Linked DNA regions of Drosophila melanogaster. The protein of the gene in region 1 purifies or fractionates together with the protein of each later gene. This does not show direct contact. Each region holds a gene or a part of one and is shown in the gene's direction. Other genes may lie near its edges.

What was found.
Region 2: the proteins of UQCR-Q (region 1) and UQCR-11 fractionate together in Drosophila melanogaster (co-fractionation; one study listed by BioGRID). This does not show direct contact.

The regions. Positions count from the first base shown.
Region 1 is NT_037436.4:17,473,134-17,477,648, forward strand, and holds UQCR-Q (Ubiquinol-cytochrome c reductase ubiquinone-binding protein), read left to right. Parts: upstream 1-1,915; 5' UTR 1,916-2,002; intron 2,003-2,086; exon of another isoform or gene 2,087-2,191; coding exon of another isoform or gene 2,192-2,254; exon of another isoform or gene 2,255-2,276; 5' UTR 2,277-2,286; coding exon 2,287-2,461; intron 2,462-2,517; coding exon 2,518-2,612; 3' UTR 2,613-2,991; downstream 2,992-4,515. Other genes in the region: SecCl (secretory chloride channel), read left to right, coding at 1-102, 158-313, 559-938, 1,003-1,245; CG46525 (uncharacterized protein), read left to right, coding at 2,192-2,254; CG34250 (uncharacterized protein), read left to right, coding at 3,178-3,338, 3,436-3,493.
Region 2 is NT_037436.4:25,118,706-25,122,478, forward strand, and holds UQCR-11 (Ubiquinol-cytochrome c reductase 11 kDa subunit), read left to right. Parts: upstream 1-2,043; 5' UTR 2,044-2,113; intron 2,114-2,172; 5' UTR 2,173-2,196; coding exon 2,197-2,280; intron 2,281-2,338; coding exon 2,339-2,512; 3' UTR 2,513-2,666; downstream 2,667-3,773.

The DNA.
Region 1 (4,515 bases):
TTGACCCGGAAATGAGGCTCACTGAGTACAATATGGCCCAGTTCTGGCACAACACTACGATTGTGCAGTCGGATGGGGACAATCTGCGGCATGGAGCTTTTGGTTAGCATACGAGGTGTTTGTTGGAGGAATATTTCTTAATACTGTTTCCTTGCAGCTGGTAACTATAGTTCGCTGAGCTTTACGGTCAATCTGAAGCGAGAAATTGGCTTCTATTTGCTCGACTATTACCTGCCCTCCATGATGATCGTGGCCATCTCTTGGGTGTCCTTCTGGCTTCAGGCGGACGCATCTCCTCCAAGGATTATGCTGGGTAATTACATTTAAATACTATTAACTTAAGCAACATTTCGTATTCGAAATCCATAATTAATTTGTTGACCTGCAACACAGTGCGTATGTGTTATATTCATTTAGAACATTGCGCATACGTCATGTTGAGTCATAGAATAAATGATTGCTTAAATTAAAGGAATAATTACAACATCTTAGAAAGAATTTAGTAACTCGAAATGATTATGATATGACTCACTTGTAACTAATATCCAATGCTCTTAGGAACCAGCACCATGTTGTCGTTCATCACGCTTTCCTCATCGCAGAGCAAGAACCTGCCCAAGGTGAGCTACATAAAGGTGTCGGAGGTGTGGTTCCTGGGCTGCACCTTCTTCATCTTCGGCAGCCTGGTGGAGTTTGCCTTTGTCAACACCATTTGGCGCCGCAAGGAGAACATTGAGCTGAAGAAGGTCAACAGCAAGTACATCATAAAATCCACATTGACACCACGACCGGCCCGCCGTCAAATTGGCGGAAGTTTGAGCAACGAGTCCAGGGCTAGATCGTGTTCCAGTTTGGACAACATTGTTTCCAGCACGGAGAGCGTGCGCAATGGCAATGGCACTGTGAATCAGGGCTTCAACAACTATTTGACAGTGCATGTAAGTACTCCAGATCGATGTCTTTCATGAGCTTTCTGTATTTTAACATTTCTCATGTCCTTAGCCCAATTTACCCATCATAAGAACGGAGTGCGCCGAGGCAGATACAGTGTCTATCTGCAGTGCGCGTACGAACAACGATCATATCGTGGATGTGGACAAGGATAAAAAGGACACGCCGCCCACCTTTACCACCATGACACCGCAGGAGATCGCCATGTGGATAGACCGGCGGTCGCGATTTCTTTTTCCGGCCATGTTCCTCGCCTTCAACGCTCTGTATTGGACCTTCGTCTATGTTTTGTAAGCGGATGTAGGCAGATGCCGCCGTTTATGTGAAATCTTGTCTATTTGCGTAGTCCTGATCGCGCAAATAATTGTTAAAGTGTAAGATGCATCATCTCATAGCTGTATAAATGTTAATCATTAATAAAGGTATAAACTATATCTCAACATTCGTATAAAAGGCTAATAATGGCAGGAAAAGTATTCTTGCTTGACAACTCATTTTAATCTAATGCATTTTGAATACAATAAAATTATTTATATGATATTTTACATATATTGAGATGAATGTGCCATCTTTAGTGGGCAAGTTTGAATACTTTGTATGCCTAATCACAGAAAATGAAGTTAAAAAGATAAGTAGCCCTCGATTTTACAATTCCATGTGTCTATTCTGTCTATTAATTTGAATAAATATAATCTTTTCGTTCACGAAATTTAAGTTTTTAAGCCGCTCACATATTTTATTACGGCAAAGGTAAGCAATTATGTTTTACATTATTTTATTGTTATATTTTAATAAGAATCCACTAATAGTTTAAAGATCCGCTATCCACACAAATTAGGTTCAAGTCCACGCTGAAAGTCTACAAAGTTACACATTCTGGTGGTGGCCTGCACTTAGCTTCTGTCCAAGACATCAATCTTAAAAAGCGGCACTTTTAGGACATTTTTCAAAAATAAAGCCTAACTGCTTGGTATGTTCAAGCGGCCCGTCCACGGTCACACTGGTTGAGACGAGTCGAGAGGAAATTGCAGCGTAAAAGTCGAATTTCAAGGTAAAAATTTGGCATCATAATCGGTACAATGGCAGGTGCTGGCTCTAAAAATATGCACAATTATGGGCTGCCAAAAGTGCAGAGATCGCGCCCAGTGTTAGACGTACTCGGCCGCCTTCATCCGCGGAGCAGTGCGAAAATTACATAACCTCCGGGTGCAGCAAATATAGGAGCACCACCTAGGCCATAATGTTTATAATAACGATCTGTGTCTTCATACAAATCCTGGTGCACTTCCTCTGCGGTTGCTAATCAAAGCTTTCCCCATCCGCAGCCCCACAACCATGCGTCTATCCTCGATCCTGAATGGCCAGCATTTTGGCAACTTGGCCAAGGTGCACGGCATCGTCACCTACAAGCTGTCGCCCTTCGAGCAGCGCGCCTTCGCTGGAGCGATCAGCAAGGGACTGCCCAACATGGTGCGTCGCTTCCGCTCCAACGTCTTCATCGTTACTCCCCGTAAGTAAATCGCTCAGGATTCCCGTCGAATCGTATTCTAATACCCAATTTTTCAGCCTTCATCGTGGGATACCTGATCTACGATCTGACCGAACGCAAGCACACCGCCCTGCTGCGCAAGAACCCCGCTGACTACGCGAACGACGAATAAGCGTCCCAACTAGCAGATAGTTATGTTAAACTAATTAATAAAACTAAACCCACAGTTCAAGAGAGTTGTGTGTTTCGGTTGCTGGAAGGCTAAACACCAAAGGCTTTGTACTCATACGTTACACATGGGATAATTTTATGTTCTATTTTATCAGTTTTATTGCTCTGTTTGCTAAACAATTCTAGAGAGAATTTGTTTTTCTGGATGAGCAGCTGCATCAGCTGTTCCCCAGTCTTGGTTTGAGTCCAAGCTATCTCGCCCTGCAATGTCTCAAAATAAAATAACAAAAAATTCATATGATGAGAATTTCAAAGAAAAAACACGACATGGAGGCAATATATTACGTTTTAATAATAAAATAAAAATTTTACTTGTTTTTAATATTCGGTAACGGTCTTAGCATTGATAGTCACCCGCTAGAGTTGCAGAGAATCAATCATCGAAAGTCACCCGAAACAATCGATGAGTGAGAAAAGTAAATAGCCCCACCTCTAGCCACCGCACAGCTGTTTGCAAGCAAAATATTGGCGTTCTAATTGGTTATTGATCCGATATTAGTGCATTAATGGACTGCTGCGGTAACGAAGTGCGCAGCGAAAGTATCCACAACATGCTACAGGCCCTGGTGGACTCAAAGGTGGTCAACGTGCAGCTTTTGTCGATTGCCGTGGGCATTTTCTTCGTGGTCATGCTGCTGAAAAACAATTTTCGCAGCTTTTCTGTCACGTAGATGGATCCAGTTTAGTGTTTAATATATCTCATAATGTAATGTACGCTAAGGATTAATAATAACTACCACAAGCCACCTTGCATCTTGTTTCAGTTCTATGGTTTTTGGAGCACTCCTCGAGGCAGTGACGTCACGTACATTATATGTGTAATATTTTGGGTGCTAGAACGTACTCGTGCTTTTTTCGGTCTCAGGGTCATCGTGTTATTTCGTAGGTGTTTGCACAACAACACGCCCAACCCCAAAAATATAATTGTTTTCGAAGGCCGGGTGAACTGGTTTGACTGCCCCCGAGACTTCCACGGATCGTGCAAAAAAAAAGAAGAAAAAAATAGAGCCCAGAATTTGTTAATTTCATCATCAGGCGACTGTGATTCTTGGCAAGCTGTCTTGCGATAAGATAGGTTATTCGAATACTCGAAGTAAGTCCTACTTGGAACAGGCATTCTCATCCAAAAACTGTTGAACTTTTGCCCCAATTGCCGGAGTAGAAGCCATATCCAATCACACTCAATTGCTATCCACAAACGATTCCAATTGACCGGCGATTGATTGCCCAATGTCTGCACGCACTTCCTGGTGCAGCATTAGAATTCAATAGACGCCCGACTTCAGCTGGCTCCATTCTGCAATCCCGTACTGACTCATTGCCCGGCACTTTCAGAATTTATGCAATACTGCGGTACGTGCTCTTATGCTAAAATATTGCATTAGAACACCCAGCGAACGTGACTTGATTGCAGGGCTAGAAATAGCAGCACTACCTTTAAGCCCTCGGATAAGCCACTGAGACAAGTCTACCTATTCTTCTGATTAGTGTTGCTTATACGAACATGAAGGATCCCATAAATATTCTTAAACATCAACTGATAGTCCTGCAACTGTCTAATCCTTCATATAGCCTGAAAATCTACCTAACTTCACAGCTTACTAATATAAACAAAAAAGTTACATCTTTAGTAGTTTATTATTAGTTTATAATAATCAGAGAACATATGCATTTCTTAGAAATTTCCGTGAATAAATGACCATTATTACAAGCACAACTTACGCATTAAACAATAATAATTGATTGATTAATACATATTCATATGTATTAATTACATCATCGGATCATTCAAACTTTCCCAACAAATGCAGTTAAGCTATTGCTTACCACACAAAATAAATCAA
Region 2 (3,773 bases), 7.6 Mb from region 1:
TCATCGTTTTCTACCCATAGACTTAATGATTGGCGCTAGTCTCTTCTACGAACTGCTGTGCGTCGGTCAAGTCAATACCACATGCAATTCTAGTGTCTTTGGTCGCACCTACACCTTTGACTTGGAGTTCTGCTGTTTCCTCTGCAAATAAGTCGCTCTCCAATTATTCATCATATTCTTTAGTAATTTATGCATAAACAATACACGACAGCGCCACTCGGTCGGTTGGGCGGGAGGTGTGGCCGTGGGACCCGTGCAATTGATAAAAAAATAAATTATCGTTCGAGATCGCTGCATAGAAATCGTCTTTTCTTTGCAAATAGCTAATAGAAGAGCTTATTAGTTAAACAGTATTAGTTTTGTAAATTTCTAACGGTATTCCTAAAAACTTTTTGCCACGCCCACAAACCGCCAAAAACTGCCTCGCCCACACTTTTTAAAAATGTTTTTATATTATTTCGTATTAATATTAGTCTTTTATCGATTTTGCAAAAAAAAAAGTTTTGCCATGCCCACTCTAGCGTGAACAAACCGCCCAAAACCGACCTTACCATTGAAAAATGTTTGATTCTTCTTCGTTTTATTGTTTGTCTTCCGGCATTTTAATCGGCATACCAAAGACACTTTGGTCACGCAAACACAAACAAAACGCCCAAAACACACTTTTGAACCATTTTAGGTTTTCCTCATTTTTTAAAATTATTCTAGTGTCTTTGTTTACTCATGCGTCTCTAATGTCTCGAATAAACTTTGCAAAGAAGCATCGAATCTATTTTCTGTGCTTAGAAAAGGGACATATGGCGCGGTTCTGTAGGATTGATGGAATTTAGTTTACTGTGGGCTTACAATCCTTAACTGGTCTGCTATGGAAGAATTACGAGGTGAGGCTGACAGGCAGCTATAATATGAGGGTCATCAACATTGACAGCATACAGAGAAATTGAAAATGGCTATGTCAAGATGATACGTACAGTGACAGTGACAGTGTCTGCCACACTTCGGTGTCGAAAATCCAAATGAACCTACCAAAATACGTATAATCTACGTAATCTATAATGACGCAGCCAAGTCCCGGGATTAGGAGCTGCTTCAAGGTTTCTTGCAGTACACGTTCCTGTCGGAAGTGTGTGTACTTCAGGGAAGCAGCAGTCGGGGTCTAAAGATGGCCCAGGAATTGTCGACAGTCGCACTGAGGAATTTTATAAGCTGCCGTGGACCGGTGGCCAGATTGAGGAGTCAAAACGGAGAAGATGTAGAACGAACTGTCATCAAATTAAATGGAATGAAAATTTCAATGCCGGGCAGGAGGCGTATGCGAGCGGATGGTCCACGGGTTGAAGAAGGTACTCGCGCATACTAATAAAAAAATTAAGGTTAGTTTCAAATATTTTAGGTCTTTTTATTCTGCTTTTTACCACACTATGGTTCCTATTCAAATACAAATTACAACAACTATTCAATACAAATTTTATTTGTGTGTGTAATTTTATAGAGAACACGCATAGTTGTATATATCAATAAAGAAGTTTTCGCATCAGTTTTATGAAAACTTTCTATCACTTAAGCATATATTTATTTGATTGCTTTTAATTAGTTATTGTTTAAAAACTAGAGCAAAAAGAACCAAAAAGACAGAGAAGACAACTCTGGCCCACAACGAATTAGTAATTATTAATTTTCAGTAGATATTTTATCCACTTTTTTTATCAGCTTTTAGCTGATTGAATTTCGTTTTAAAAACACCACGTCATTTTTAAATGTTTGCCTCCAAAAACATGTATCAAGGGAATCAGGAAAAAATTATGAAAAGTTTTAAATAAAAGTTTATAGCCTAAAAAAAATTATCTGACCCCCGTCACGGCGGACAACTGGCCAAAAATTATTTTAATTGCTTTGATTGTACCTTGTGTGAACAGATTTTAACATCTAGGTAAAATTGCAAACGGTTCATAAAGATGTATTCTATTGGGGCTAGGCTATAAGCTTAGCTAATTGATATATATGCATAAAATAATCTGTTTTTGTTGGTCTGGCCCTCATAATTCAGGCATACATAAAATACATTGTGATTGCATCATAGCGGTCTTAAAGGTTATAGTTATTTTTCAAAAATGTAATTTACGTTCATATTCATAAAATTTGGTACTATATATGTTTTTGAATTCTGACTAGTTTATTCTCTTTTTAGCATTAATAATGGCTTTTAGGAACTGGTTTTCGCTTCCCGCCGTCAGAGCTGATGACGAAGAGGACTTAGTTGACCCTCAAGCAGTTTTAAGGGTAAAAAAGATTTCTTTACATCATTTAATATAACACTAAACTGATTTTTATGCAACAGGAAAAATGTCAAGCTAAAGGTCACATAGAATCCTTGTACAATAAGTACCAAGAGTGCAATGATCGTGTTAATGGGCGATCCAAAACAACTGAGACTTGCATCGAAGAATTATTTGACTATGTTGCTGAGTTAGATCATTGCGTTTCGCACAGTCTTTTTACAAAGCTTAAGTAAATACCATTAAAGTCAATTCCATTAAAGGGAAGGGCAGTGCTTAAAAATAAGAACATAAATAAACAAATCTCTTTATCGAGTTTTATACGTGTTTTGTGCCTTTTGGTGATCAGAACCTTTTAGAAGCGAAATTGGGTAGGTAATACTACACTAGTGGGCATAAGTATTTGCACGCCTTTGTTTTAATACTAAACCAAGGGTATTCTATTAAGTTGAGGGCTGGAATTTGAGGTGGCCAATCCAATGTTTTTATGCAAACATTTTTCAGAAACAGTAATCAGTTTGGTCTTATAACAGGGAGCATTATCATGCTGGAGTATGAAGGACTCTCCAATCAATTCATCATCATTATTATTAAGGACATCTAAATATTTTATTTGATTCATGTGTCCATCAACAGGAACCAAATCTCCCAAGACAGTGAAGGCTACGCATCCCCAAAACATAACAGACCCTACTGACTATTCTTTGACATTCTGGTGCCAGTTTTTTTCGATATTCCGATATCGAATTTTCGAAATTTAAAAGGTGGAACCATTTGCCCATGTTTTCCATTGCCAGCGCTTATGCAATGCATTTGCGCTGCAAATGTGTCTGTACGTATGTATATATTTATAATACATTGAAGTATTTGTATTGAGTAAAGTAATATGAGTTTACTGAGTGGGCTTCTTTTTTATTTTAGTTTATTTTTATTGATATTGTTTTCATTAAGTGATGCCATCAACTATGAATAAAAAAGTTTTAACGTGTAATTATGAACTACTTGTTTTTTGTTTAGTTACTTAATTTCATAACAAAACTATCTCCCACTGCTATTTTTATTTTGTTATGTGTAAGTCATTATTTTCATTATTCTTTCATTTATACTCTTCATGCATAGTTCTAGTTTTCTTATATGGTACTTCCAATCTTCATTTACTTTCCTTCTTTCCTATATGATAAATCGGCTGCTCTGCCAAAAACTATATGGAAACTATAGAACGGGTTGTATAAAACAATGTACGAAATTCTGAAGCCACAGGTCCCAATCAGTTTTATCAACTGATATGTATTCAACTGATAAGTTTTCAGATGGTGGTGAGCGGTAAATGTTAAATTTTTAATTTTAAAATTTTTGCAAAAATCGTTGATTATTGAGTGCTTATACTCTGTACCCATGAACGTTTTCAATGGACCGTAAGTCAGGATAAAGGATTCGAAAATTGAATTAGCGACTTGCGATCTTATATAGTATTGGTATTGCAACTAAATATTTAGT